Ovis aries: one gene and its partners. The main gene of each other region encodes a partner of the protein of the gene in region 4 in a complex. Links are inferred from orthologs where the notes say so. Each region holds a gene or a part of one and is shown on either strand. Other genes may lie near its edges.

What was found.
Region 1: LAMTOR1 (region 4) and LAMTOR3 share a complex: the UniProt entries of both Homo sapiens proteins name them as parts of the ragulator complex. The link is inferred for Ovis aries from reciprocal best matches to the Homo sapiens genes LAMTOR1 and LAMTOR3.
Region 2: LAMTOR1 (region 4) and LAMTOR4 share a complex: the UniProt entries of both Homo sapiens proteins name them as parts of the ragulator complex. The link is inferred for Ovis aries from reciprocal best matches to the Homo sapiens genes LAMTOR1 and LAMTOR4.
Region 3: LAMTOR1 (region 4) and FNIP1 share a complex: the UniProt entries of both Homo sapiens proteins name them as parts of the lysosomal folliculin complex. The link is inferred for Ovis aries from reciprocal best matches to the Homo sapiens genes LAMTOR1 and FNIP1.

Annotation. Positions count from the first base shown.
Region 1 is NC_056059.1:25,126,556-25,133,580, forward strand, and holds the end of LAMTOR3 (ragulator complex protein LAMTOR3), read left to right. Parts: intron 1-902; coding exon 903-961; intron 962-2,427; coding exon 2,428-2,561; intron 2,562-3,836; coding exon 3,837-3,900; intron 3,901-5,645; coding exon 5,646-5,719; 3' UTR 5,720-6,646; downstream 6,647-7,025. UniProt on the Homo sapiens protein: As part of the Ragulator complex it is involved in amino acid sensing and activation of mTORC1, a signaling complex promoting cell growth in response to growth factors, energy levels, and amino acids.
Region 2 is NC_056077.1:36,678,824-36,686,345, forward strand, and holds LAMTOR4 (ragulator complex protein LAMTOR4), read right to left. Parts: upstream 4,916-7,522; 5' UTR 4,861-4,915; coding exon 4,858-4,860; intron 4,366-4,857; coding exon 4,285-4,365; intron 2,453-4,284; coding exon 2,150-2,452; 3' UTR 1,987-2,149; coding exon of another isoform or gene 1,889-1,986; 3' UTR 1,657-1,888; downstream 1-1,656. Other genes in the region: TRAPPC14 (trafficking protein particle complex subunit 14), read left to right, coding at 1-138, 349-542, 655-808. UniProt on the Homo sapiens protein: As part of the Ragulator complex it is involved in amino acid sensing and activation of mTORC1, a signaling complex promoting cell growth in response to growth factors, energy levels, and amino acids.
Region 3 is NC_056058.1:20,550,555-20,557,579, reverse strand, and holds part of FNIP1 (folliculin-interacting protein 1), read right to left. Parts: intron 4,673-7,025; coding exon 4,589-4,672; intron 3,437-4,588; coding exon 3,365-3,436; intron 2,324-3,364; coding exon 2,188-2,323; intron 1-2,187. UniProt on the Homo sapiens protein: Binding partner of the GTPase-activating protein FLCN: involved in the cellular response to amino acid availability by regulating the non-canonical mTORC1 signaling cascade controlling the MiT/TFE factors TFEB and TFE3.
Region 4 is NC_056068.1:50,457,095-50,464,781, reverse strand, and holds the start of LAMTOR1 (ragulator complex protein LAMTOR1), read left to right. Parts: upstream 1-2,604; 5' UTR 2,605-2,677; coding exon 2,678-2,719; intron 2,720-7,058; coding exon 7,059-7,204; intron 7,205-7,446; coding exon 7,447-7,524; intron 7,525-7,687. UniProt on the Homo sapiens protein: Key component of the Ragulator complex, a multiprotein complex involved in amino acid sensing and activation of mTORC1, a signaling complex promoting cell growth in response to growth factors, energy levels, and amino acids.

The DNA of each region.
Region 1 (7,025 bases), on a different chromosome or scaffold from region 4:
TAATTCATATTTTTGAATTTTAATTGTCTACCAGCCACCTTCCACTTTGCATGCATCATTGTATTAAATTTAACAGTAGCCAAAGGCTCAGCAGTAAAGAATCTGCCTGCAATGCAGGAGACCCTGGGTCGGGAAGATCCCCTGGAGGAGGGCATGGGAACCCAGTCCAGTATTCTTGCCTGGAGAATCCCATGGACGGAGGAGCCTGGCGGGCTACAATCCATGGGATCACAGAGAGTTGAACACGACTGAAATGACTTACACACACAAATGAGTACAAGTATCCCCATTTTCATATTAACTGAGGCTTAGCGAGGTTTTGTAATTGATGCAAGGTAGCATAAACAGTAAACACCAGAGCCTGAACGGGAACTCAGGTCTTTCTTACTTCAGAGCTGTGGTCTTGACCATTCTGTTTCCTTCTTGTGTAAGCGTGGTTCAGAGGATTGCCCTGTGACCTCCATTCTTTCTGTCCTGTTCTCTCAGCTTACAGTGATCTCCCCACTCCACTTTTCTTATTACCATAACGTCTCAGCTGAGGTACCACTTCCTCCGGGAAGCCCTCCCTGACCCATCTATCTGAATCTACCCCTCCTTTTATAAGCTCTCTCGTAGCCCCACACATCTCTTAATGGCAGTTCTCACAGTTGTAGTGTTAGATTTGTGTGAGGTAATCTGAACGATAGCCACTCTCCTTTTAGATTGCAAGTTGTGGGAAGGCAGCAACTGGGTCTCTTTTTTGCTTCTTATGGTGGAAGAGTTTTGCAAACATGTTATAGGAGCTTATATCCGTGATTGAGTTCTCATGGTTTTTCAGAAATCTATATGAGAATTATCATTATGATTTTGAAGGTACATATTTTGAGACAGTGTTTTATAATACATCAACTTTTCCTTTCTAGTGTTGAGGGGCTCCATGCTATTGTTGTGTCAGATAGAGATGGAGTGCCTGTCATCAAAGGTAAAACGCCACAATTACATGTCAGTGCCATGTTTGCTTTTGAATACAAATGTGTTTATATTTGGGTAATAGAGAAAGCAAGCAAAAAATAACCCATTTCAGTACATTCAGGTTGTGTGTTGAAGGATAGGTTGGAATCTAATTATATCTCAACTATTTCATGATAGGATGCAGAGTTTAAGTAAGGATTTATTGAAGGCCCAGTTTCCCATTAAAGACATTTTATGTATAATGTAAACAACTAGTAAATCTGAATCATGAGAATGAGCATATATGCAGCGAGACATATTATACCCACGGACTCCCCCAGCATATATTTTTCATCAGTATTGCTGGTGGTTTTAGGATAAACAGCCATACATTTGAATTAACATAAATTTATTGTTTTGTTTACTCTTTCTTATTCTTCCTTATTGGAAATAAGATTTTGAAAAACTTTTAACTTCACAGTTACTTTAGTTAACCAGAATCTAGCAAAAATTTTTGCTTGAAGAAAAGTTGGTTAACCTAAAAAAAAGGAAGAAAAGGTTTCTTTTTGCCTAAGGGTTTAACTCTTTTTTTTTTTTTTAAGTATATGTGATATGACAGAAAGGCTAAATAATGTTCTGCATATTTTGTTTACAATATATTCTCCACCTGAGGTTATCATATATGTCAGATAATTTCAGACTTTAGAATTCAATCAAAGTTTAGAAGTTAGCTAATATAGTTCTTTCATTTTATTAATGAAAATGGTCAAGTGCAAAGAGTAGATTGTCAGCTCCAAGTTGCTCATGAGTCAGTGACAAGATGGTCATAGAACCCATCATCTTCTGATATGTGATCCAGTATGCTTCCTAACCCAGCACAGAACATAGGTAGCCATGGGCAAATCACTTCCTTTTCTCAGTTCCATAACGAGGACTTTGAACAAAATAATCTCAGATTTTCCAGCTCCAGTGTTCTTTTTGAGGATCTCTGTTAAAACCTTAAGCTCAGCACTTACGGTACAACCAACTCCACATAGACCTTTCAGTGAGTATAAAAAACTTAAATCAGTGGCCAGGTGTAGAATTATCATCATCTACAAATGATGCTTCTGTGGGTTTTGTAAGAGCAAAGGTTAAAAGCTTTTTTCCAATATTCTCACTTAGCTCATAGTTAACCAGAATATTCAACTTATTAATTGTACTGATAATCATAACCTGTTTTAAGTTAGATATTAAGAAGATAGAGATGGTTAGTATTCATTTGAAATTTTTTGAAAAATTGTGAGAACCAGTATTTTTTCCCTTAGTTGTGATTGAATGGTTTTTCTCACCTAAACTGATGAGACCCAATTAGTATTATGAACTTCAGCATTGTGAAGCGTAACTCTTGTGCTTTTTTTTTCTACAAGTTTATGTGTTTTTTTTTTTTTAAATACTCTAAATGTCTTCTCGCTGTATATCCTACATAATTTTTACTTAAATCACTTGTATTTCCAGTGGCCAATGATAATGCTCCAGAGCATGCTTTGAGACCTGGTTTCTTATCAACTTTTGCCCTTGCGACAGACCAAGGGAGCAAACTCGGACTTTCAAAAAATAAAAGTATCATCTGTTACTATAACACCTACCAGGTAAGTTCATAATTATCAAATGGTTTGCTGATGATTTCAACTATTATTCTCTCTTCTTTGTAGAATAGTTTGTTTTAATAATTCTAAATTTTGGTTTCCAAAGTGATGGAATTTTAACATCTTCACCTTCAAATTGGTTATGTTAAACTGTAGTGATTTTTTTTCACATTTTACTTCAGGAATTAATATGAACAATTAGATTAAAAGATTGAATAGTAAAATATATATTATCCTCAAAAGGGTAAGTCAGGTCACTGTTATTAATACCTCCAGTAGATGGTGCCCTTAGCTTATTTAACAACTGTGATTTCTCAAATGACACAGTGGTTGTTGTTGTGACAGATACAGGATTTTCCTTGAAAGTCAAACGATAGTTATTTACATTTGTTATTGCTACTAATCCCATCTTTTGGCTTGATTATATAAATATATAAAATAAATGAGGTTATTATTTGTGGGAGAGAAATTAGTTGCTACAGATCTCTTGATCGCCAGCTGTATTTTCTTTAGAATGAATCAGTAACTTCTTCACAGTAGTAAAGAATCTGCCTGCCAGTGCAGGAGACATGAGAGACACTGTTTCAGTTCCTGGGTCGGGAAGATCCCCTGGAGTAGGACATGGCAACTCACTCCAGTATTGAGCAATTGAGCATACACTGCTTTCCATAGAGCAGAGTTTCCCAGGGTGTAAGTCATGCACTACCAATGATACATATGTGTTACTTTTTATTTTAAAGGTTATGTATTTTAGTATCTATTAGGCAGAAGATAACCAGCTCATCTGACCTTTAATTTAGTCAGTAAAGGTTAGGTTGAAGCTAAATTTTTTAAAAAGATAGCTGATTTTAAGTTAACTTAAATGTAAGTTAATTTAAATTATAGTGGTACAGAGGAGGCAAAAGATTGAGACGTTATAACCACTTGAATGACTGAGAAATAATGCCTTTAGCTCCTTAATTATCAAATATTTATTGAGCCCCTACTATGTAATTGACACTTTGCAGGGCTTTAGAAGATAAAAAAAGATGAGGAAGACACAGCCCCACCTTAGAAACTTTCCAGACTAAGTGATATTAATGTCTCTAAGAGATAATTAGTAAGTCTGTTTTACGGAAATACTTATTTTCAGCTCTTTCACCTTTCATGACGTAATACCATGATGTCAAGCTAGTATCTTACACATTTAAAGTTTTTAGAAAGATTAAGATATTTGATTTGAATTATACCACTTTTTCACTATATAACATTATACTTTAGATCTTGTTCTCTTTTTAGGTGGTTCAATTCAATCGTTTACCTTTGGTAGTGAGTTTCATAGCCAGCAGCAATGCTAATACAGGTATGTTTTAATTACCTTAAATACAGCTTTTAATCTTTATAATACCGGATCTGAACAGTCTAATATGATATGAATACAGATTTAGAGTAAGAAAACCTTAATGCATGGCCCAGCGCTACCATCTATTCCTTGTTTTCTGGAAATATAACTTCTCTGAATTGTTTATATATTATAAACAATTATTTATATAAACAAATATTGTATTGTTTATATCTGTATAATGGAGCTAAGAACTGCTTTCTTGATCTTATGCTATTATTTTTTTAGTTCAGATGAGATGATGTATAGATAAGTGATCATTTACGATAGGAAAATTAAATGTTATTTTCACCTCTTTAATACAGTATCTTGCTCACATTACAACAGTTTCAGAAAGCCAGAAAAAAAAAAAAATCAGTGGAGAAAATAACCAAACAAAACATAAAAATGATCACAGATGAATTCAGGTCCATAAGGACCGATCTATAAAATTTTGAACAATAGTGGGCAAGGTAAATGTGTTTGGGAATTTAAAGAGTGTGACTAGTATGAATATACTCAATTTTTTTTCAAAGTGGAAGAATTTGAGGGCTAACACTTGGAAGCTGTACTTTCTAGAGAGCATTGTAAGATCTCATTATATCCAGTGGTCTTCACTGGCTATTTTTGTGTAAAATCATAACAGTATTCAGTTGAATTACAATTTTTTTTTTTACTCTGTTTTAGTTTAAGTGGAATTTTTTAAAGGTCTGTCTCCAGGTTTCACCACTGTTAGCACTGCTTTACTTTTCTGTTCTGTTTTTTTCTTTCCAAGATATTTGAGCCAGTTTTGTTTCTGACTGTATCACTGAAGCCTGTATTTAGATTGCTCATGTTTAAAATGTGGGGTTTAGATTTAATGAACTGTTGGGTGTCTTTCATTTCTAAATGTTTTCAACCGTAAAATACTGTATGTGAAAACTCTTTGTATAGGATAGTAGTGGTGTCGGTATTTTAAATATGTTAAACCTCAGTTGTGGTAAATCACTATCATACTATAAAATCATCAGTTGTTATAAATTATGATAATCTCCAGAATTGTATTCTAGTACGTAGAACATTTCCTTGTGAATCCCAGGTGCTTTGAATGCTGTGTGAGACAAGAAGATCTTTAGTTGAGCAAAAAACAAGCAGTATTTAAGATATATAGCCTTCTACCCTAGGAAACTAACAAGCTGGATGTGCTGATTTCTAGATTAGCTTGCTTCTTTCAGTGTGTGTTTTATAGTCCTGTGAGGCATCTTTAAAACATTTTTGCCTTTGAAATATCCATTTGTGCCTTAGCTTTACTGAATTTATATAATAAGTATCTGATTATTTCTTTGCTATCTATCTGTTTTTTGATAAAGTTCATTAAAATTGGGTCAGGAAAAGGTCTTTTTTTTTTTTTTGTAAAAATCATGTGTATTATTCTTGAATTGGTGCAAATTTTGAAATAATGAGGTATAGATGAATTAAAGTTTTTCATAAAACTCCAGCAAAAGTATAACACATATATAATTCATTTTACATCTTCTAATACATATAATGGTTTTATTTATTTACATTAATAATAGATGAAAGTAAACTTCATAATAACTGTGTGTTTTCAATTACTTTGTTCAGAATCACAGTAGTTTGTTTTAAGTATAGTTATAGAAAATGAACTATGTCTCATTTACTTTTTAGTATATAAATTTTGATGAGCATTTTTCTAATGTTCAAATTTCTTAATCTCTTTGCTTTAGGACTAATTGTCAGCCTGGAAAAGGAACTTGCTCCATTATTTGAAGAATTGAGACAAGTTGTGGAAGTTTCTTAATCTGGAATTTTCTTCATCATATCAGACACAATATCAATCCAGCAATCTTTAGGCCACAGTGACACTTGTATCCATGTACTCAAGGACCCCCTTTTTCCACTTTACTCTAGAAAAAGAGCCTTACAGATAGAATTTATGGATGGGTTGATGGTTATCTTTTTTTGTGTAGGTGAGATCTGGGGATACCACAGAAATGGTTCAGTCTATCACAGCTCCTGTGGAGTTAGTCCAGTCACCAAATACGCATGAGATCCTATTTGGTGGCTCAGAATCAAAATGATACTTTGACCCCCTTGAGCCATGAAGTGCTCCCTTTTATACCATATGCCAGGCCTGCAGAATGAGGCAGACTCTTTTTATTGTGAATAATGGGGACATATTTTTTCTTCATATTATTTTCTTTGTATTGAGTGTGAGGAAGATAAAGTGGCCTAGGAAAAGTGAATGAAACGAGTACAATCACTAACTTTCATTTGTATATATTGTTGTGCACTGTAGGTGAGTCTCACTAACGAATTTGTTTCTTCTTAGAGGGTGCTGGTCTTTAATGGAAATGAAGATGATAGCTAATGGTTTTTTCTTCCACTCTGCTTTCTATAACCAATCAGTGTTTTTTTTAATGTTTGTTTAGTCTTTGTAAATTTAGGTGTGATTCATTATTGAATTCTGTTTCCAATATTGGTATGTATGTATGCATGGTAGTATATCCGTTTTTTCATACGTGAGGATAAATAAAATAGTATTTTTAAAAGTACAATTTGAGCACTACATAGGTTTCCCTGCCCCTGCCAGACTGTTTTCAAATGTTTAAACTGCAATTTAATTCATTCTTTCAACCACATAAATAAGTGTTTCTTGTCTAGTTTGGAGACTGTTTTACCTTATATAAGTTGTCAGTTGGAAAATAAACCTCATCCAGGAGCCTAATTTAATCTTTGTGTAATTGGCATCACAGTTCTAGCACGTGCTTTTCATTTCTAGGAATGCAGTCTATCATTCAAGGCTTTAATTTCCTCCTGGGTTCTTTGACAGTCAGAGTTCATCGCTGGTACCTGGCATTGAGTAGCAAATGTGTGCTGTTCACTAGAAGTACCACATTGCAGAATTCTAAGCCGCACACGTGTATGTCATATTTCTGTGCTCCAAGGATGCATTTTACATGGCATATGAGTGAATGCAGTCCTTCAAGTTGTGCGGTGAGTGGCTAGGCACTGGGCCTGCCTCCTTCCTTCCTCCCTTCTTCCCTTCTTCCCTCCCACTCTCCTCCCATCCTCTATAAATAAGAGAGTAAACCTGTCATTAAAGA
Region 2 (7,522 bases), on a different chromosome or scaffold from region 4:
GAGGAGCGCCGGGCCATGCAGGCAGCCCTGGACTCCATCGTCTGCCACACACCCCTCAACAACCTCGGCTTCTCCCGGAAGGGCAGCGCGCTCACCTTCAGCGTGGCCTTCCAGGCTCTGCGGACTGGGCTCTTCGAGGTGGGCTGGGTGAGGCCTAGCATCGGGGTGGGAGGGGTCAGGGCCGCTGGCTTCTATGCTGAAGCATAAATGGGTGGGTGCTACAAAGCCGGGTGGAGGGAAGGTGGGCTTTAGATCTGACTTCGGCCTGTCACGTGGGGAAGATGACCTGAAAGGGGGTCGGGGGCCTGGCAGCCGAGCTGGCCGGTGATCTGTGTCTCCCCACCCCAGCTGAGCCAGCACATGAAGCTGAAGCTGCAGTTCACTGCCAGCGTGTCCCACCCGCCACCCGAGGCCCGACCCCTCTCGCGCAAGAGCAGCCCCAGCAGCCCTGCCGTCCGGGACTTGGTGGAGAGGCACCAGGCCAGCCTCGGCCGCTCTCAGTCCTTCTCCCACCAACAGCCCTCCCGCAGCCACCTCATGAGGTATGGAACTGCATGGGGAGGACCCCGAGGGCTTGGTAGAGGCCAGGATCGGGAAGGGAGAGGACGGGACCCTGGGGTCCGGCCAGAGCCCACAGCCTCCACTTTCCTCCAGGTCGGGCAGTGTGATGGAGCGCCGGGCCATCACTCCCCCTGTGGCCTCCCCTGTCGGCCGCCCCCTCTACCTGCCCCCGGACAAGGCTGTGCTCTCTCTGGACAAGATCGCCAAACGCGAGTGCAAGGTCCTGGTGGTGGAGCCGGTCAAGTAAACCATCCGGCCGCCTCCCTCTCACACTCCGGGAAATGGACAGCCCCCAGCGCGGGTGCTCCCTGCAGGCTGTGCCTCCCCGGGGAGCCTCCCACCAAGGGTGAGGGGGCCCCCCACAGAGCCGCCTGTCTGTGTCTACTGATGAGGGACGAGGGAAGAAGCTGTGAAATGGCCGGGGATGGCTGCAGTGTGAAGCCGACAGTATTTCCTGGACTTCCTGGGGGGGCTGGCCCCACCCCTTGGCCAGGGCAGTGGCTCCAGGAGCTCCCCTGCCCCCCGCCTTGCACCCTGGTTCTAAGTTTACAAAGTGTTTTCCTTGTTCCTCTTACGTTGTCTTCCCCGCCTCTGACATTCCCTCCCTCCCTCCCACCCGCAGGGCTGAGATCAGAGGGTGGTGATGGTAAAGGGACCCAACAATGACACGACCCTCCTGTCTCAGGTCAGGGGAGAGAGCTAGGTGGCCTCCCCTCGTCCTCATGTTTACGTCTGCAGCCTGAAGCACTTTAAGTTGTGTGGGATTTTTGATTTGGGTTTTGTTTTTTTTTTTGGTCTGTCTGTCCCTGTAACTTATTCTCCAACTACTGCTTCCAACTGAAATAAGACTATTAAATGCCTGTTCAGGAGGGAGAAAAAGACTGTTACTTGTGTGTTGGTGGCAGCGGCAGAGACCTAAGGGCTCAGAAAGATTCCCTCCAGCCTGTACACCAAATAGCTCCCTTCCCACTTGTTTTTTTTCTTCTGATTTCCAGTTTTATCTGTCCACCCCACGCCTCTGGGCTGAGGGCCCGGAAGCTGAAAGACACATGGGGTATGACTCTCCTCCCCCAATACACACAACACATCCCCAGGTCCAGGAACATCACACTTATGTTTATTAGGCAGGGTGAAAAGAAGGGAGGTCCCCTCACCTTCACTGTCCTTAACAGAGTACAAAGTCCCCGAGCCTCTGCCCTTCCAGGTCAGGGTGGGGAAGCCGGTGAGCAGACAGCTTTAGTTCTAGTGGCACCAAGAGAGAGGCCGTGGAGGTTCCCATCTTTCTCAGCACAGAGGTTCCTCCTCTGCCCCTCGCCCTCGGGCAGGCTCATACGTCAATGGGCTCCCGGCCTCGGTTCTGCCTCTTCACCACAAACACCCTCTGTCCCGACACGGTCACAAGCAGCGTGTGTTCTCCAAAGACCACTGGAGGGGAGACGCACCTTCCCCCAGCCCGGGAGAGGGAAGGGAGCAGAGAGTTAGTGGGTTATGGGGGCCTCAGTGGGGGTCGCACACAAACTGGCTAGGATCCAAAGCCAAAGGAATTCAACAGGTCAAAGCTCAGAGATTAGAAGATGGGAGGTCTCCATTAAATCCCCTCCCTTCTCTTGCTTTTCTCATAGTTCTGATACAGGGGTAAATACCACAGGGAAGACAAGGATTCCAGAGGAGATGGTGGGCAGCTGGTAGGAGACAGGTGTCTTTCCCTGAGAAGAGTGGCCTTGGGGAGCAGCACCCCACCCCCCTTCCCCACTACCAGAGGCCGGGGCTCACCCGACAGACGCTTGAAGGGTACGCTCATGCCTTGGTGCAGCCGGAAACCGCAGGCCGTGCTGACGAGCTCAGAGATGGCGCTGGCAGCCTGCTCGTCATTCTCCAGATCCCCGGATGACTGCACACAGAGGGAGGGGGGCAGGAATCAGGGACAGACTGGGAAGCAACTCCAAGAACCCTTCTGTGTAACCTGTCTCCACTTTCCAACACTGCAACATCACCCCTAGTATTGGAAAAACTTAAAACTTTCCTATGATATTGTTGCCCCTCTTGATGCCATCTTGTTCCAAAATACTGGGCTTCCCTGAGGAAGTAGGAACTCTCATCCATTTCTGTCCATTACTGACCCTGTTTCCCCAATCCCTGAATCTTCATTTCTCTCCCTGTCTCCACTTATTTGAAAAAAATCACATTCTTACAGATTAGTGCCCACCCACCACAGCTAGAGTCCCAGGCTCCATCTTTTCCCATTTCTCATTTGTCACCCTGTCTGCAGAACCTGAAACATAAACATCCCTTTTCTCTCTGAACCCCTTCGGACTACCTGGCCCTTGAATAATGACGTCACAGTGGCCTGGGCTTCCTCTTTTCTGGTAATGATCTCAACTTCTTACCTCCTCAAGGTGGCCCTCCTGCTGGATTCTATACCTGTTTCCTCATCTGTAAACTGGGGACATCAGTACCTATCTTACGTGCTTGTGAGTGTCACAAGAGTACTGGGGCAAGATGCTCAGATTAGCTCCTGGCATTATCTATTTAACGGCTATTCAGTTCAGTTCAGTTGCTCAGTTGTGTCTAACTCTTTGCAACCCCATGGACCGCAGCATGCCAGGCCTCCCTGTCCATCACTAACTCCTGGAGTTTACCCTATTATTCTATATCAAACTTAGTGTTTAAAGCTGCACTATCAAAATCCCCCCTATCTCTCCCCCTCTCCAGTCAACTTCCTTTCTTAAGTCCCTGCTGGTTAAGGCACCATCATTCTAGGCTTGAGGTCAAAGTCTTACAGGATAGAAAAGTATCCCCTTTATTACTGAACTCTAGTCATTACAAAGACAAACCAATTCTTCCTTTAAAAACCCCTTCTCTCCTTGCTTCTCATTGCAACCAGAGGTTTCATACCTACATTTTGGCAACAGCATCCCCGCTTTTGAATCCTGCCCCTTCTGTCTTACCTTTACGCCTAACAGAACAATGCTACTCAATCACTTCATCAGCTTGTTTCTGTTCAAAAACCCTTCAAGATTAATCCAAATGTGTTAACCTAGCCTTGAAAGTCCTTCACAATCGGACCTTTCCTCACCATATCCTCTTCTTCCCCCAAATGTTTCCAAATCTTTTCAACATAACCCCATCACCAATTCAGATAGGCTGGTGTTACACTCCTGCAAAATGTCCACCTCCCAACTCTGAATATTCTTTCTTTCCTGTCATCCATCCATCTTTTAAGCCCAGATGAATTCTTACCTCGTCCAAGGAAGGTTCCTTGCCAAAACACAAGTTATAGTATGAAGGGCTGAATCCTTCACTTTCTGGACTCCTTCAGCTGCGTTAACCACATGCACTACTTTGAACTTTTAGCCTTAAGCCTTGTCTCTAGCTAGATTGAAAACTTCTAGAGCTGACACTGTATTGTACTACAGAACAAAATACCAAGCCTCTTCAATAAATACCAAATAAAGACATACTCAAGAGTAACTTGGGGATTGTCAGTTATCAACAAACCTGTAACTTGCTTGACTTTGGTAAAGTCAGTAAACCTCTTTTACCTCAGGATAGTTACAAGACTGAGAGTCCAGAGATTGATTAATTGATTTAATTCCTACACGCCAGGCGTGATACCAGGGAAAGACAAGAACAGAGACCAATCGGGCCAAACAGGGCAACATTAGAAGGCATCCTAGAGTCATGTGTACTTGGAGCACCCCCCCTCCCGTTTCCAGAACGCACCGCCAGCACCGCGCCTTCACTCAGCACCAGGTAGCCAAGCTGGTCGGGGATTCGCTCCAGCCCCTGAGTCAGTGCCGAAGTCTGGTGGGTAAAGATGCAATTAGTGAGCAGTAGGCCGAAAGGATGGCCCTTGGGCAACCAGAGTGCCTCTCTTGACAGTGCCCCCTGCCCCCGCTCCAGGCCTCTTTACCCAGCCAGGGCCCTTCCAGACCCTCTTCCCTCTACACGGCCTTCAACACTGATGCTCCTGAGCCTCCGTCAGTCCTCTCCTCCGCCCGGGCGCCACCAGCTTTCCACACGTCACCTTTGCTACCCCAAGGGCCCCCTCCCCAAACGCACCTGTGGCCTGCGCCTCCCCCTCAGACTAGTCCCCAGCTTCTACACACCCTCCCAGCGACTTCTCCTTGGCCTTCTACGTCACCACCCCTCCCTTCTCCATTTCCTTCCAGTCCCAGGGAGAATAGGAGGTGAGGCCGGAGGGCACGCTCAGGACCCCGCAACCAAAGAGATTGGGGGACAGGGGTAAGGAACCGCCGGCGCGGCGCGTAACTCCGCGCATGCGTCCTCACTTACCATCGCAGCTCTAGGTGCTGGGGGAGCTTGTAGCCAGACCTAGTTCCGGCTCCAGACCGCGGTCACGTGCTTCCACCCAGCGGTCTCCTCCTCCGGCCCTGCCCTGCCCGACTTTAGTCCCGCCCCCAGGATGCCGATTGGAGAGTGGCTACGTCATCAGACTTACTCTGCCAGTGCGGAGCGCCGCTTCCGAGACGCTCGCGCATTGGCCGCACATCCTCTTGAACATTCATCTCCCTTCCCCTTAGCCCCAGAGCGCGAAGGAGGGGGGCGTGTCGGCGGGGGGCGGGTCTGGAGGCGGGGCCGGAGGGAGGCCGGGCTGAGAGTTTGCGCCTGCGCACACGGGGGCGGCGGGGGCAGACTCCAACAAGGCTAGGTGGCTCGCAAGTGGAATCCTGAGCGAGCCAAAAGACGTAGATAGAGAGCTATTCAGATGCTACTCTTGTGCCTACTTCAGGCAGCTCTCTGACAGGAATTTGTTCCAAAGCGATTTTTCGTCCCGGGATTCTGTAAGAAACTGTGTGATAGAGCATTATACCTCCCTAGTCCATGGGGCGCTAACGGTCGGACACGACTGAGCGACTTCACTCTCACTTTTCACTTTCATGCATTGGAGAAGGAAATGGCAACCTACTCCAGTCTTCTTGCCTGGAGAATCCCAGGGACGGGGAAGCCTGGTGGGCTGCCGTCTATGGGTCGCAGAGTCGGACAGGACTGAAGCGACTTAGCAGCAGCAGCAGCAGCCAAGGCAGCTGCAATACTGAATATTCTCTGCCAGGAATAATTAGAAAATGACCTTGGGGTAATTTTTTAAATATATGAGTGTCATTTAGAAATTTTTTGTTTTAATTTAAGTAGTTTTTAGACCTGCTGCAATATTAATGTGAGGCAAAATGATGATAAACTAATAAAAAAGCTTGATGAGGATTTGGAGACATTGGGGCTCTCATACATTGCTGGTAGGGATGTAAAATAGTGCAGTTGTAGTGGGAAACAGATTGGTGGTTCCTCTGAAAGTTAAATAGAGTTACTATATTTATAAATGAAAGTTAAATAGGACCTAAAAATTCCACTCCTTCATACATACCTAAGAGAACTGAAAACTATGTTTACACAAAAACTTGTACACAGATGTTATGGCAGCATCACTCATAATCGCCCCCAAATGGAAAGCAACCCAAATATTCATAAACTGAAGACCAGATAAAGCAATGCGGCATATCCATACAATGGAACATTGTCCAGTTGTAAAAAGGAGTGAAGTACTGATCTATGCTATCACACAGATAAACCTTGAAAACATGCTAAGTGAACCAGAGATCAAATTACCAACATCCACTGGATCATCGAAAAAGCAAGAGAGTTCCAGAAAAACATCTGTTTCTGCTTTATTGACTATGCCAAAGCCGCTGACTGTGTGGATCACAATGAACTGTGGAAAATTCTGAAAAGATGGGAATACCAGACCACCCGACCTGCCTCTTAAGAAACCTATATGCAGGTCAGGAATCAACAGTTAGAACTGGACATGGAACAACAGACTGATTCCAAATAGGAAAAGGAGTACGTCAAGGCTGTATATTGTCACCCTGCTTATTTAACTTCTATGCAGGGTACGTCATGAGACACGCTGGGCTGGAAGAAGCACAAGCTGCAATCAAGATTGCCAGGAGAAATATCAATAACCTCAGATATGCAGATGACACCACCCTTATGGCAGAAAGTGAAGAGGAACTAAAAAGCCTCTTGATGAAAGTGAAAGTGGAGAGTGAAAAAGTTGGCTTAAAGCTCAACATTGAGAAAACGAAGATCATGGCATGAAAAAGTTGGCTTAAAGCTCAACATTCAGAAAACAAAGATCATGGCATCTGGTCGCATCACTTCATGGCAAGTAGATGGGGAAACAGTGGAAACAGTGTCAGACTTTATTTTGGGGGGCTCCAAAATCACTGCAGATGGTGACTGCAGCCATGAAATTAAAAGATGCTTACTCCTTGGAAGAAAAGCTATGACCAACCTAGATAGCATATTCAAAAGCAGAGACATTACTTTGCCAACAAAGGTCTGTCTAGTCAAGGCTATGGTTTTTCCAGTGGTCATGTATGGGTGTGAGAGTTGGACTGTGAAGAAGGCTGAGCGCCGAAGAATTGATGCGTTTGAACTGTGGTGTTGGAGAAGACTCTTGAGAGTCCCTTGGACTGCAAGGAGATCCAACCAGTCCAATCTGAACGAGATCAGCCCTGGGATTTCTTTGGAAGGAATGATGCTGAAGCTGAAACTCCAGTACTTTGGACACCTCATGAGAAGAGTTGACTCATTGGAAAAGACTCTGATGCCTGGAGGGACTGGGGGCAGGAGGAGAAGGGGATGACAGAGAATGAGATGGCTGGATGGCATCACTGACTCGATAGACTTGAGTCTGAGTGAACTCCGGGAGTTGGTGATGGACAGGGAGGCCTCGCGTGCTGCAACTCATGGGGTCGCAAAGAGTCGGACACAACTGAGCGACTGAACTGAACTGACCTGAAGTGAAGGAACTCAGACAATCCAGGCCACATATCATCTGGGTGTATCTGTGAGATGTCTACACTGGGCAAATTCATAGAGACAGAAAGCAAATTAGTGGTTGCCGGGGGGTGAGCAGAGGGGGAAATGGGGAGTGACT
Region 3 (7,025 bases), on a different chromosome or scaffold from region 4:
ACTGGACTGGAAGAAACACAAGCTGGAATCAAGATTGCTGGGAGAAATATCAATAACCTCAGATATGCAGATGATACCACCCTTATGGCAGAAAGTGAAGAGGAGCTAAAAAGCCTCTTGATGAAAGTCAAAGAGGAGAGCGAAAAAGTTGGCTTAAAGCACAACATTCAGAAAACGAAGATCATGGCATTGGGTCCCATCACTTCATGGGAAATAGATGGGAAACAGTGGAAACAGTGTTAGGTTTTATTTTTGGGGGCTCCAAAATCACTGCAGATGGTGACTGCAGCCATGAAATTAAAAGACGCTTACTCCTTGGAAGAAAAGTTATGACCAACCTAGATAGTATATTCAAAAGCAGACATTACTTTGCCGACTAAGGTCCGTCTAGTCAAGGCTATGGTTTTTCCTGTGGTCATGTATGTATGTCAGAGTTGGACTGTGAAGAAGGCTGAGCGCCGAAGAACTGATGCTTTTGAACTGTGGTGCTGGCGAAGACTCTTGAGACTCCCTTGGACTGCAAGGAGATCCAACCAGTCCATTCCGAAGGAGATCAACCCTGGGATTTCTTTGGAAGGAATGATGCTAAAGCTGAAACTCCAGTACTTTGGCCACCTCATGCGAAGAGTTGACTTATTGGAAAAGACTCTGACGCTGGGAGGGATTGGGGGCAGGAGCAGAAGGGGACGACCGAGGATGAGATGGCTGGATGGCATCACTGACCCGATGGACGTGAGTCTGAGTGAACTCCGGGAGTTGGTGATGGACAGGGAGGCCTGTCGTGCTGCGATTCATGGAGTTGCAAAAAGTCGGACACGACTGAGCGACTGAACTGAACTGAACTGAATTGAACTGTGTATCTAAAGCAGTTTCCCAGGTAGCTCAGTGATAAAGAATCTGGCTGCCAGTGTAGGAGATGCAGGTTCAAGCCCTGGGTCAGGAAGATCTGGAGGAGGGAATGGCAACCCACTCCAGTATTCTTGCTTGGGAAATCTCACGGACAGAGGAGCCTGGCGGGCTACAGTCCATAGGGTCACAGAGTCCAGAGTCAGATACGACTGAGTGACTGAACACAAACGCACGAGTAGCAAAGTCTTATCAACAAAATAAAACGGCAACCAATGGAATGGTATAAAATATTTCAAAACATGTATCTGATAAGGGATTGATATTCATTCGTATATAAAGAACTACTACAACAACAACAATACACCTGATTAAAAAATGAGTAAAACACCTGAACAGACATATCTCCAGAGAAAACATACACATGGCCAATAAGCATATGAAAACAACATCACTAGCTATTAGAGAAATATAAATCAAAATTACAATGAGATATCATTCTACACCCATACAGATGGTTATTAATTTTAAAAAATGGAAATTAACTACTGATGAGGATGTGAAGAAATTAGAACTCTTGTGCATTTCTAGTGGTTGGGCAGGGGGGTGAAGAGGTGGGACGGGGGAGTGAAATTCCCTGGCAGTCCACCAGTTAGGACTTCATGCTTCCAATGAAAGGGGCACAGATTCAATCCCTAGTCAGAGAACTAAGATCCATCACGCAGCTTGGCACGATAGAAAAAAAAAAAAAAACCTGGCCATTTTTAGTGAGAATGTAAGTAAAGCAGTGGGGCGTTTTGGTGAAAAATATAGCAGTTCCTCAAAAACAAAGAATTATGATACAATGCAGGAATTCCACTTCTGGGTATATAAGGATAAATATTTTATGATTCCACTTATATGATATGTAGTCAAATTTAAAAAGAAAAAATTGCATAGTAGTGGCCAGGGGCTAAAGGGAGGAAGGAATGGGGGAATTACTGCCTAATGTCTACAGAGGTTCAGTTCAGCTCAGTTGCTCAATCGTGATCCGCTCTTTGCGATCCCATGGACTCATGCCGGGTTCAGTTGGGGGAGATAAAAAAAGTTCTGAATGTGAATGGTCATGGATGCACAACAATGTGAAGGTACTTAACACCACTGAACTACACTGATAATAATGGTTAAAATGGTATATTGTATGTTATGCATAACATAACACAATTTTTAAAAAAGTAATACACTTTAAAATTTTCCAGTTGCAGACTTTAAAAATACAAAATATATGTCCAGGCTCTTAACATACAAAATTGTGTTTAAGGAACTACTCAATCTTGTGGTAAAGTAAAAGTTCCAACTTACCATCTAGGAAATACCCCATTCTCTAAACTTGTTGTTTGGCTACGTCGCCAGCGTCGCTGGTAGCTGCTGGCACAACTTCGGGTAAGTGAGGAGTTTGGAGAGGGAAATGGTGTAATAAGCAAGCTGCTGAGAGATGCTGTCAAGTCAGAATAAGAACAAGTACAAAGTTAATAATAACTAAAAACAGGAACAAATTTCTTTTTAATAAATTTAAATGGTGACTCAAAATTTCCATTTTGCTGAATGAAGCTCTAAAATCTCCATTAAAAAAATATATATATCATTGTTGGAGCAAGGTCCCAGAAAAAAAAATCACATAATAAAAGTGATTCAGCAAGAGATCCTGATATCCTTTTGCCATCCTTTTTCCCACCCCACTCCAGAAGAAAATGCTATTTTGAAATAAATCTTTATTCCTTTGATGATGGCACTGTCTCCAAGCTTAGATGAACCTCTCTGCACAGGTTTATCTCAGAACACCTCATACAATAAACTAAGATTATTTTTCTCGCTAATCTCTCTATCATTAGAACCTGTGCTCTTTAAGGATATAATCTGAGTGGGTGTTTTTTTGTTTTTTCTTAAATCCTCAGAATGTTTCAATAAAACTTCGTCAGACAAATTTTGGAAGAGTAGATATCTCAAAGAAATATGTATAACACTGGTTCAAAATACCTAAGTTTCTCTGGGCAAGAGACAGTCTGACATTTTAAATCCAGTTAGGAGAAAACACGGAGAAGGCGACGGCACCCCACTCCAGTACTCTTGCCTGGAAAATCCCATGGATGGAGGAGCCTGGTAGGCTGCAGTCCATGGGGTCGCTAAGAGTCGGACACGACTGAAGCGACTTAGCAGCAGCAGGAGGGAGAAAACAGATGTAAGCAAATGTTTTTCTACTATGCTATTTAAGTAGTCTCTTGAGCAATATTATTTTTCTGACTGAGTGTGTATTCATCCAGGCCATGTTCCAACAGGCACATTTTTACTATTAAACATGAAAAAAAATTTAATTTAAAATACTTATCTCTGCTGTTTCTACAATTCTCTTGTTAGGCTAATATCAATACCAACAAACTGTACACATAAAATTAAATGATTAAAACAGATTAAAAAGGAAATCAATGTCAGGTAACAGTGATCTCATAAAAACCAGATTAACACATGAACCTATCATTACCAGAGCGTGCTATGCCACTGTCTCTGTCCTCATTCAGGTCTCTTCCAGGCATGTCCATTGGGTTGCTGTGAACTGTGAATCAAGACAAAAGTGTGACTTATAAAACACAGTGCTGTTCAGGTTGATGTTCCTTTTAAAATAGCAAACTAAATCATGCTCATCTCATTGCATTCCTTTATTTTTTTCAACAGCATGGCACAAACCCAACACCAAGAGCTATTCTTCAGTTGAACAAGCTTTGAGATCTATGTGTAAACAATCTGTGACATAATATATAAAGAAGCAAAGGGTGACTAAAATAAGCATTTTAGAAGCACATTCAATGACATGAATATATTCACAATATACTACTACATGATAAAAAGGCGAGATATTGACCAGTAAGAACAATGGCTGCTGAGGCTAAGTGATTGGCATATGATGGTTAATCTACTGTTCTGTCTATATAAATGTATGCTTTAAAGTTCTATAATAAAAATTAAGAAAACTGAACAGTATAATCCCAATTTCGTTTTAAAACAAACAAAAACTAAGGAGGTATTTCTGGTTGACAAGATGGCTAATACATATTTTTTGCCTATTTCTCGTATTTTCCAAATTTTCTATACTGTATATACATTGTTTATATTTCTAAGGAAAATACATACTAATTAAAACAGGAAGTTGGATACAACTTCCTGGATACAGAAGCATGAACACAGTCTACAATCATCTATTTAGTGATATCAATATAAAAAATTATAGTCAGAGATGCCTTTTATAGAATATAATGGTGCTTGTTCATCTGAATCTTAGCTCCAAGAGAAATCATTTTTATGGAATAGTGTAGATCAGAAATTGCACAACAACAGTATTTTCTGTGATTGATGAACTATATGATACAAAAGCTACTCAGCCATGGAAACAAGATAGTATCACATTAGAAATTCAACTGGTATTTTAAGAAATACTGTTCATACTATATTTTGGTTTAGGATTCTAAAGTTAAAATCATTATTACATAATAAGGCAAGAAATCACAAACTGAAATTTCATGTAAATGTCATTTCTACTCATAAGTTAGTTTCTGGAAACCTTAACAACATATTCAATAGAAAGATATTAAGTTCTTAACTGCACATCTTCCCCAAATGCATTTCTCTACTCTCTTGTTTCCACAGCATAACTATGAATTCTAGCCGCTGGGGCACACCAACTAGTCTACCCACACAGCACATGGCAAACCTGCAAAGAAAGAGGCGCTCCTGATCAGGCGGAGCGGACCCTGTTCAGAGAATGCCCGCCTGGGGCTGCAGAACTGTGAAAGACCTACATGGCAAAAACGTAAAATACATATGAAAGAGGGCTGTTAGAGAAGCCACAATGCGTCAGGAATAAAAGGTGAGCTAAGACAGCACAAAAGCAGACCAACAGATATGAATGGAAATCTTTAAACTAAGTAAGAATAATTCAAGCTGACTTCCTATTTTTGAAACAGGATGGTTTCCTTCTGGCCATGGCTTATGACACCATAACAATTTCATGCCTATTAAGTCCACATATAGTAATAAAATAAGCTTCCACTATGTAAGGTAAAATTATTTTATAAGCTTCCACTATATAAGGTAAAAATTATTTTAAATGTTCAATCCTTTCTCATCTAAAACAATATTTTTGAAGATTAAAAAAGCACAGTGATGTTATATATATAATTTGATATTTGCCAAATGAATTTATCCTTTAAAAAATCAATTTTAATATTATAGTACTATGTGACTAAAATTAAGAAGAAAACCACCTAAGCGCTTGGCTAAAAAAAATGTACACAACATAAAACAAAGGGCAAATAAAGAAAAGCGGTCTACTGACAAGTAAGTATGGATCTGATTTTTCTAAACTAGTGCTAAATTATAAATTAATGGGAGAAACCAGAGCTCCTAGAGCAGAGGTCAGCCACTATGGAAGCAGGAAAGCCAATGCAGCCTGTCAGGGCCAGACTCCCAGCTGCTCAAGGCAGTAGCTGCCGCACACTTGACCAAGAGAAGGCAAGAGTCTGAAGACCAAGAGAGAGTAACATTAGAGCCTGGAAGCAAGCACCTGAGTTACTTATTAGTTAGGGTTAGTCCAGATGGCCTGAAGAGCCACCTAGGAGGGTGATCCAGGACACAACTGACAGCTTTACTGTTTTAAAAAAGTGACAAATGTATTTTTAAATTGTTAACAGGTATTTTTCTATAACAAGAGTTTCTATAATTACAGTGAATGTGCAGCAATCCTTCCATGTTTCATTGTTCAGTTCTTCCTTCAACTTTTCCTATTTACCTCAAAACTTACCTGCTCTCTTTAATCTCACTCCTTACTCTTCCTTACTCTGAGTATATGACTTTGTCTCCTACAGTATGCGTATGTATATGTGAGTACACAAGAAGAATCACCATATGGGAACTCTCGTTTTCCTACACTGCTATCTCCAGACTTAATTCTTATTCATCCCTGCCTCCTTCCTGCCTGAGCGGTAATAATAGGTAACATCATTCAAGCCTTTCTTTGTGCGAGGCCTTAGTGAAAAATTCCAAGATGGGTCTCTCTCCCTCCCTTTCAAAGCTAATTCTAAATCAGCTAGACCCTTCAAAAATTTTACTTTACCAGTATCACCTCTATTTCCAACCTCATTTTCCTTGTAAACCTCCTTTTCCATCAACATTTAAATACTGTCAGAACTCTTCTCCCTTCTCCCCATATATCTAATCCTGTAGTTCAACAGTTCTTAAAATGTGGTCCAAGCACCCTCTTCGGGGACCCCTGAAACCCTTTCATGGGATTACATTTTATTACTGGTGTACTTCTCCCAACAAACTTCTCAACAACTCTTTATCCTCACTGACACACTCTTATTCTAGGTCCCCATTATGTGTCACTGGACTATTATAAGCAGTCTTCTAATATGGGTCTTTTCTCAATCCCACTGGCTCATCTGAGTCCTTTCCCAAAGCAATTAAGAATATTCTCTTGCAGATACAAATCTGATCTGATCATGTTTCTATATTCTGAAAACTCCTCTGTGGTGGCCTTGAGAATGCACCACAAAGCTCTCCAGCTATAAGAATGGAAATTGGCCAAGCACCCCAGCTGCTGTGTTTTTAAATCCATTGCCAGATTTGGGCAAGGTCACATACCCCATAGCCTGCTCCTAGTCAATGACTGAACACAGCAGGTATAACAAGGTAAAGCCCACTTTAGCAAGACATGGGTCACTTCTGACAACCATGTATAACTCAAAGACTTGTCCACAGCCTTATCAAACCTTCCCTGGACTAGTGTGGCATGCTAAAACATGTCCACTAAAGCTTTTATTCCTCTCCTTCAATTAAGGTCAAACTTACACCATAATCTGAGGGCTCTCTGAACCCTTCTCAGCTTCCTCTTCATTTCTCTCATGAAATAATAATAAATATTATTTATTAATACTAAAATCTGTGCATGTTTAATCTTATCTTGGGACCTGATAAAAATCAGGTGGAAGACCCAAACTAACACATTCTTCCTGGCACCCAACTGCTCAAAGAATAACTTGAAACTTCTCAGTGTGGCGGCCCACAATCTCCATCATGATCTGACTCTTGCTCATTTCTTTACTTCTTTTCACTTCCTTTAACTCATATTCACACCGTGCTCCACCCAC
Region 4 (7,687 bases):
GGGTGGAGGAAGGGAGCGAAACCCACACGTCATTTGCCTGTCATTTGTGTAGCCCTTACAAGTGGCAATTATCCCCGTATTTTACACACCATGGCTCAGAAAGGCTAAGTTCATTGCCCAGAATCACACAGGAACTAGGATTTGAATCCAAGCTGGTCTGATTCCAAGCCCATAGACATTCAAGGATTGCATGCCACCTAAGTTCAGCACCCAATCCCAAACCATCTCTTCCCACTTCTGGACCCTGGTTCATCTTCACCTTGCTCCCTTCATCAGTTTTGTATCATCTCTGTAGTCTCCCTTTTCAGGACCCCTTTCACCAGTTCCTGTCTGAGTTCTCCTGCCACCTTACCCAGCACCTGCTTGGTCTCTGACCCATTACTGTGTAGCAAAATAGCACATCTTTGTAGTCAGGAACTCCTTCACTGTCACTGCTCTGCATCAGTAAAAGGCCATCAAAATACTCCATAGTGTGTTAGGATGAGATATCCTTACCACCACAGAACTCTCCCTCTGTCAGCATTTCCCTGGAAGGTGAGAATGGTCCTTGATTGGCATATTTATTCTCCAGTTCTGTCTCCCCTCTCCTGCACTCCCCTCCTCTGTCCTCTCTCAGAATTCCCTTCACGGTCACATAGATACACAGCACACACTTTCCCCTAACTCAGCCTCTTTTCTCTCCCTCATCTCGAGACACCCACCCCTCTATCCCCATGGACCCTGTCTTCTCCAGTGCCCTGGACCATTTTACCCCTTTGAGGCCACTGGTGGTAGTTGAGGGAGGGAGGTGACTAAAAAGCATGTATGAATGGGGTTAATAGATAGTTGAAGTGAAGTGAAAGTTGCTCAGTTGTGTCCGACTCTGCGGCCCCATGGACCATACAGTCAATGGAATTCTCCAGGCCAGAATACTGGAGTGGGTAGCCTTTCCCTTCTCCAGGGGAATCTTCCCAACCCAGGGATCAAACCCAGGTCTCCTGCATTGCAGGCAGATTCTTTACCAGCTGAGCCACAAGGGAAGCCCATAAGTACGTGGGTGATGGTGAATCTGAACTGGTGTGCTTGGGAACCCACATTCCAGGGCCCTGCTTACCTGGGCTGCAGGCTCCTGCTTGGGAAGATCAGAGCATAGGACAGGAGGGGGAGTCCTTGGGGTGAGGAAGAACCCTAAGGCAGGCTGGACTTGCTCTCAATTATTGATGCTGAGGCTGCTGTTGTTACCTGAGACCTGTGGTTCAAGTTACCAGCCCCAGAAAGTGCTGGAGTTGCCTCCAACCCTTCAGGATCCCTCAAAGAACTTACAGAACTCCAGGACCTTGATTTGAGGGAATAACAGAACTACTTGGTTTGGTGACATTTCCTCCAACCCCTTGATTCAAGACATGGGTTATGGTGTGAGCCAAGGTGATTGGGAGCTTGTAATTTATTAATTCCAAATTCTAAGCCAGTGCTAAGGATCGAGTCACAGAAAAAAGTCAGATCCTGTCCCTGTCCCCAGGAACTTCACCTTTGGTAGAAGAGACTGATACAGGGACAGAGAATACAATACAACGTGATCCCTAGAATGCGTGCTCCATGAACATCGGGACTTTTGGCAAGCAGACCAGGTTGGGGAGACAGTGTGTCAGCCCATGGGTGAAAAGACCAGAAAGTCAATCTGGTCAAGCTTCCTAAGTATTTCCCTGTGGTTGGAAAGGCAGGATCTGCAAGATCTTGCACGACAGTCTTGGACTTGTGTTCAGAGTCCAAGGGAAGATGTGTAACGGTTCTAACCACTGACTATGAGCTTTGTGTGTTAGATTGCTGCTGCTAAGTCACTTCAGTCGTGTCCGACTCTGTAGGACCCCATAGACGGCAGCCCACCAGGCTCCCCCGTCCCCGGGATTCTCCAGGGAAGAACACTGGAGTGGGTTGCCATTTCCTTCTCCAATGCAGTAAAGTGAAAAGTGAAAGTGAAGTGTGTTAGATTGCTCTGATGTAAAAAAGGCAGGATTGAAAAGAAATGCCTCTGGCCAAAGAAATCAGTGAGGTGGCCTCTACCTCCGCCACCAGGATTGAGCTCCACTCTGCTTCAGTTTGTGAAGGTATAAAGTCCCTTCTTCCAGTAAGTCTCAGAGCCCTACTCAAGGTTGGGTGCCACACCCGCTGTGTGCGCCCGGGCCTGGCGCCAGCCAACTAGGCCCTATGGGTGTGTACCCACACTGCGCTCTTCGAGCGTAGGGCCTGGATTCCACTTGCCCTTCTAATGTCATTCAGGAGAGTATTTCATAACCGCAACTGGTATAAATTCACTCACTAGCCCACAAATATAGCCTGGTGGCCTCGGGAACTCATACATTTCACACAAGAACTTTTACACCCCGCAGTGGACGTCTCCAGCTGAGACCTGCAAAAGCTGAAGTCATGTGACCCACCCCTCCCTTTCCTTGCGTCACGTGTCTGACGGCCTGTCACGCAGGGTGTGCCTTCCCATTGGCTGGCTATGATCACGCGGTAGGGGCGGGGCCGGAAGCTTGGGTTCTGGCGGCAGCCACGGCTGCGAAGCCGCTCCGGGAAGGGGTAGGCACGGGGGCGGTGGTTACTTGCTGGATCCTGGTGCCGGTCATGTGACCGGAAGGGCTCGTGACGGACGCCGTCCCTCCTCGGCGCGGCCTGAGCGCCCGGCCCGACCCCCGCCATGGGGTGCTGCTATAGCAGCGAGAACGAGGACTCGGACCAGGTGCGGCCGCCGCGGGCGGGGCTCGGGAATGAGGGCTGAGATCCTGGGGCATGGGGCCCAGAGAAAAGCGTGCAGAAGAGGGTCACCTGGACTGCAGGGCTTACTGAGTACGGAGGCCCGGAGGGGACAGATTACAGAGGAGACGCCAGCCGGGCTCCTGTTCCTTTTAAAGCCCGCGTTCTTTCTGCACACCCCCCCACGTTAAGATGTGCAGGCGGCCGCCTGTCCCGCTCGCTCCTGCCCCTTCCCCTACTTTCAGACGTTTACAACTTAAAGGGTCCTCAGCCTCCGTCTCTGGGAAAAACTCCCTTCCCAGCTTCTTGTGCCTTCTCTATGCTTGTATTAATGGGCTTTGTGAACCCATTGTAGAGGTGGGTAAGCTGAGGCTCTTGAATTATGTTGCCCCGATATGAATCAGAAATCTTTGTATACTCTGAATCCTTGGGGTTGAAGAAGGAAGGTCACTGCTGGTTTGGAGTCAGGGAAGGCCTCTGGAAGTTGGTGTCATTTGAGCTGATCAGTGAAGGATTTAATAGACACAGTGAGGGCATTGAGACGGTGGGAATTTGGAAGGCAACAAAACGGGTTTAGCTTTGGCTAGATGGCGGGGAAAGAGAGGTGGGATGGGAGCTCACTTTGGCCTGCCTCAGTGCAGTCCCTGCCTGGGGCCTGCGGGCTCCTGTACCTAGAGGGGTGTTCTGGGTATTCAGCTGTAGATCTGATTCCTTGGCAGAAAGGGTTAGGTTGGGGCGGCCTGTACAGTTTTAAATTCTGCCTCTTCCCCTTGGTGTAGTCTCACGTCTTGCTACACTTTAATCCCTGCCCTGCCTGCCTAACCTTTTTGAGGAGGGCAAGACCTTTTCAAGAAGTCCCAAGTTTGCTCTAAGTCCTAAGTCTCACTTGCTGTCTTGGTTGCCACTGAGCCTGGATTGTACATTTCAAAACATATTGACAGGAAAACTGTAGAAAGATTTCAACAAGTAGTTCACAGTCTAGAGAAGTAGATGGTCACAGAAATGGATTATGTCACTGGTATAGGGGAAGTAGGTCTTTCCCCAGTGACTCACATGAATCTATTTTGGGTCAAAGACTTAAGCTTGGGAAAAAGTCATTTGTATGGGAGGCACGGGTGGCCCCTGGATCTTACTAAGTCTCCAAACACCCAGTGAACATATATGCCTTATCTTAGGGATGCCATCCAGGCAGTACTTCACACTTCACCTCTGGTAAGAAATTGAAGATAATACTCGTTTCTACTAGGAAAGCTATGGCCTAGTGGGAAATTGTCCCCTAAAGTATAACAATGGACTCTTGCACAGAATGAGTCAAAGGTTAACTTTTTGTGAGAAAGGATACCAGCTTTTGGAATTTCTACTTTTCTGAATCTACACCTTCCCCTTGATGGGTTTCACTTCTGGTCCTAGCTCCCAGAGATGGTGCTTGATCAGTCCTGGGTGATTTTTTTTTTTTTTTTTTTTTGACCATGGACCATTTTAAAATTCTTTATTGAACTTGTTACTGTATTGCTTCTGTTTTATGTTTTGGCTTTTTGGCCAAAAGGCATGTGAGATTTTAGCTCCCTGACCAGGGATTGAACCTCCTTCCCGAGAAGGCAAAGTCTTAACACTGGACTGCCAGGAAAATCCCTGTCCTGGGTGATTTGAGGCCTCAGGTGGAGGTCTGCTTGCCTAGTCTATAAGCCATAACCATTCACTGTCCACTCTCTCAGGTCTTGGGCAGGCCTCTCTCCCATTCTCATATTGGACTCTTGGTTATAATAATAAAAAGAAAGGTACATTATGTTACAGTTTTCAAAGATCTTTTACAGTTATCTTGCTTAACTCTTGTCCAACATCTGTTATATAGGTTCTAGTTATGTCTATTTAAAGGTGAAGAAAAAGTTGAGAGAGGCTGTGATTTAGCCAAGCTTATAAAACAGAGGGCTTCCCAGGTGGCACAGTGGTAAAGAATCCACCTGCCATTGCAGGAGATGTGAGAAATGCAGGTTCAGTCCCTGGGTCAGGAAGATCCCCTGGAGCAGGAAATGGCAACCCACTCCAGTATTCTTGCCTGGAAAATTTCATGGACAGAGGAGCCTGGTGGGCTACAGTCCATGGGGTCTCAAGAGTCAAACACGACTGAACGATTGAGGAGACACACACATGCACACACAAAACTGGGAAGTGCTACAAGCAAGGTGTTCTGCTGCCAAGGCCTGTCTTTATCCATTGTGCTAAGCAGTGTCTTCTGGCTGTGCCCACAGACCAGGTGGCTAGTCATAGGCAGACCACATACATGTCTATGAAGAGAAGATGGTGAAACTCCTCCCAGGTTGATGCTGACTTTAGGACAAATCTTGGTGTGAAAAACCCTCCCGTGTTTACATTCACCCTTTTGGGGGTGGGGGCGATGTTATTTGTCCACTCTAACGGTAGTAGCATGGCCTCTTCAATGAGTTCAGGGCTCAGGAAGAGAATCTAGTTCTTTTCCTTTTGTTTGGCTGTGCTGGGTCTTCACTGCCGTGAGGGCTTCTCTCTAGTCGTGGTGAGCAGCATCTAAGTTGCGGTGTGCGGGCTTTTCGTTGTGGTGGCTTCTCTTGCTGGAGAGCACTGGCCCTAGGGCATGCCAGCTTCAGTAGTTACAGCACTTGGGCTCAGTAGTTGCACGGAGCCCTCCTGGGCTCTAGAGCACAGGCTCAGTAGTTGTGGCGCATAGGCTTAGTTGCTCTGTGGCAAGTGGGATCTTCCCAGATCAGGAGTCGAACCTGTCTCTCCTGTGTTGATAGGTGGATTCTTTACCACTGAAACCCATAACAGCCTTGTTCTTGAAGGACCCCGGATAGGGGAGAAGTGGCCTTGTCCTGCAGGAGCATCTGTCTGAAGTGGGGCTGGGGAAAAGATGGACATATAGAAAGCAACTCAGGCTTTATTATGGAGCCAACTTTCCTTAGAGATAGTTTAATCTTTGGCACACAGTTTGTCTTTCAAGTTCTTTAATACTTAGCCTGTGTTTTAGGTGGGTCAGGGGGTGTTTAAAGGAGTTGGGAGCTGATGAGGCAGGAGCCTAGAGCTTCTGTCTCACGCTGTTGGGAACAAAGGACATGGGCAGCCTAGGCTTGAGAAAGAAGAGTAATGTGAAAGGACTGACCTTGCCTAGGTTGGGGCAGGAGGAAGTGTGTTCTGTAAGGAGAGTTGAGGAGCTGTTGGCAGGGGAGCTGGGAGCCTGCAAGTGTGAAAGACTGTACTAGGAACTGAGATGGGCCTGGAATGGAGCACTAAGGAGTCTGGTGGTCTGGCACTGAAGGCTGATGAGTCAGCTCTAGCCAGGGTGGCCCCTTGTCCCTGGCATCATCCTGGGTACCCTTGTTCTTTATACTTTGGATACGCAGCATGATGGCTTATCCATTTTGCAGCTGACACAAAGCCAGCAGGGATTTACAGCTGATGGGCTCAAGGCAGGGTTGTATTCAAAAAGATTGCGGTAGATTAGATCAAGGGACTAAAACAAGCTGAGGAGAAATAACACATAGCATTATATAGGACCCGGGAGACTTGCTTTGGTCTCAGGTCAGTTCAGGGGTTGTGGTGATTGGCACAGGCCGGCAGAAACAGGACTGCTGACACGAAGGAAGCCACGTTCACAAAGGTGTGGCGGCTTGGCGAGGGCAGGAGCAGCTCCGTAAAGGCACTCTGGGAGCACCGATTTAGGTTGTGGGAATCCCACGCAAAGAGGAAAGGAGAGTGAACGCCTGAGAGTAGAAGGGGCCTACCCTCAGAAGGGACTCTTGGATGGCAGGACCCAGAGCCTGCAGCTGGGACTCCTGAGATAATATGAGAAATGGCTATCGAGAGGTTGAGCTTGCTTTCCCTTGGGGCCCAAGGCCTTGTCTGGCCTCACAGGGCCTCTGGGAGCAGACAGTCTGACCAGGGAGGATCTGGTCTGGGGGATCAGAAGGGCCATACTCGGGCTCCTGACTTATATCAGTGTCCCATCTAGACCCCACTGCTTTGGTATTTTCCACCTTCTCTGGTTTCCAGCCTCCAGTATCCTTTCTCTACCAGGTGCTGGGCTATTTCCTGAAGTTGCAAGGCCATGACTAAATACCTGCGTTGTGCCTCTTTCCATCTTTTCAGGGCCCCTAGGACTGCTTGGTTCCACTTTAGCTCATACTAGACCACCACCAGCCTAGCTCCCAAAGGCAAGCAGGATCTCGGTCCTGGAGCGGACGCTTCCGTACAGTTGGGCACTTGGGATGTTCCTAATAGAAATATTTTTGGCGGCTAAAGGTCAGAGCTGGGCTAAGAGGAGAGGCTGATGTCTCCCCTGTGGTCTCTCCTAGGACCGAGAGGAGCGGAAGCTGCTGCTGGACCCTAGCAGCCCACCCACCAAAGCCCTCAATGGAGCCGAGCCCAACTATCACAGCCTGCCCTCTGCTCGCACTGATGAGCAGGCGCTGCTCTCCTCCATCCTCGCCAAGACAGCCAGGTGGGCATCACAGGACTGGGCCTGGGACAGCGCTCCTCCATGCATGTTAAAGACTGGGATGGGGGGCCAGACCCAGGGTGCAGGGGACAGGTCAGTGGGAAGAGGCACTCCTGGGCCCAGTTGTCCTCCCGTGGGCAGACAAGGACACGATTGTCAGATAGCCCTGGAGTTGTCACCTGGCAGGGAGTCTGTTCGGCCCTCTCGGAAGCACCGTTCACGTCCTTTCTCTTCTTTCCCCAAAGCAACATCATCGACGTGTCTGCTGCAGACTCCCAGGGCATGGAGCAGCACGAGTACATGGACCGGGCGCGGCAGTACAGGTGTGCTCCCGGCCGCTTGCAGCCTGAGGCTGCTGGGCCCTCCCTCCTCCTCCCTCTGCTCCAGCTGTGGAGCCCTGGCCCCGGTCCAGGCTCCTGGTCTGGGTGCAGCCCAGGAGGGTGGCCACAAATCACTCGGGTGCCTCAGTCGATGTTCATGTTGACC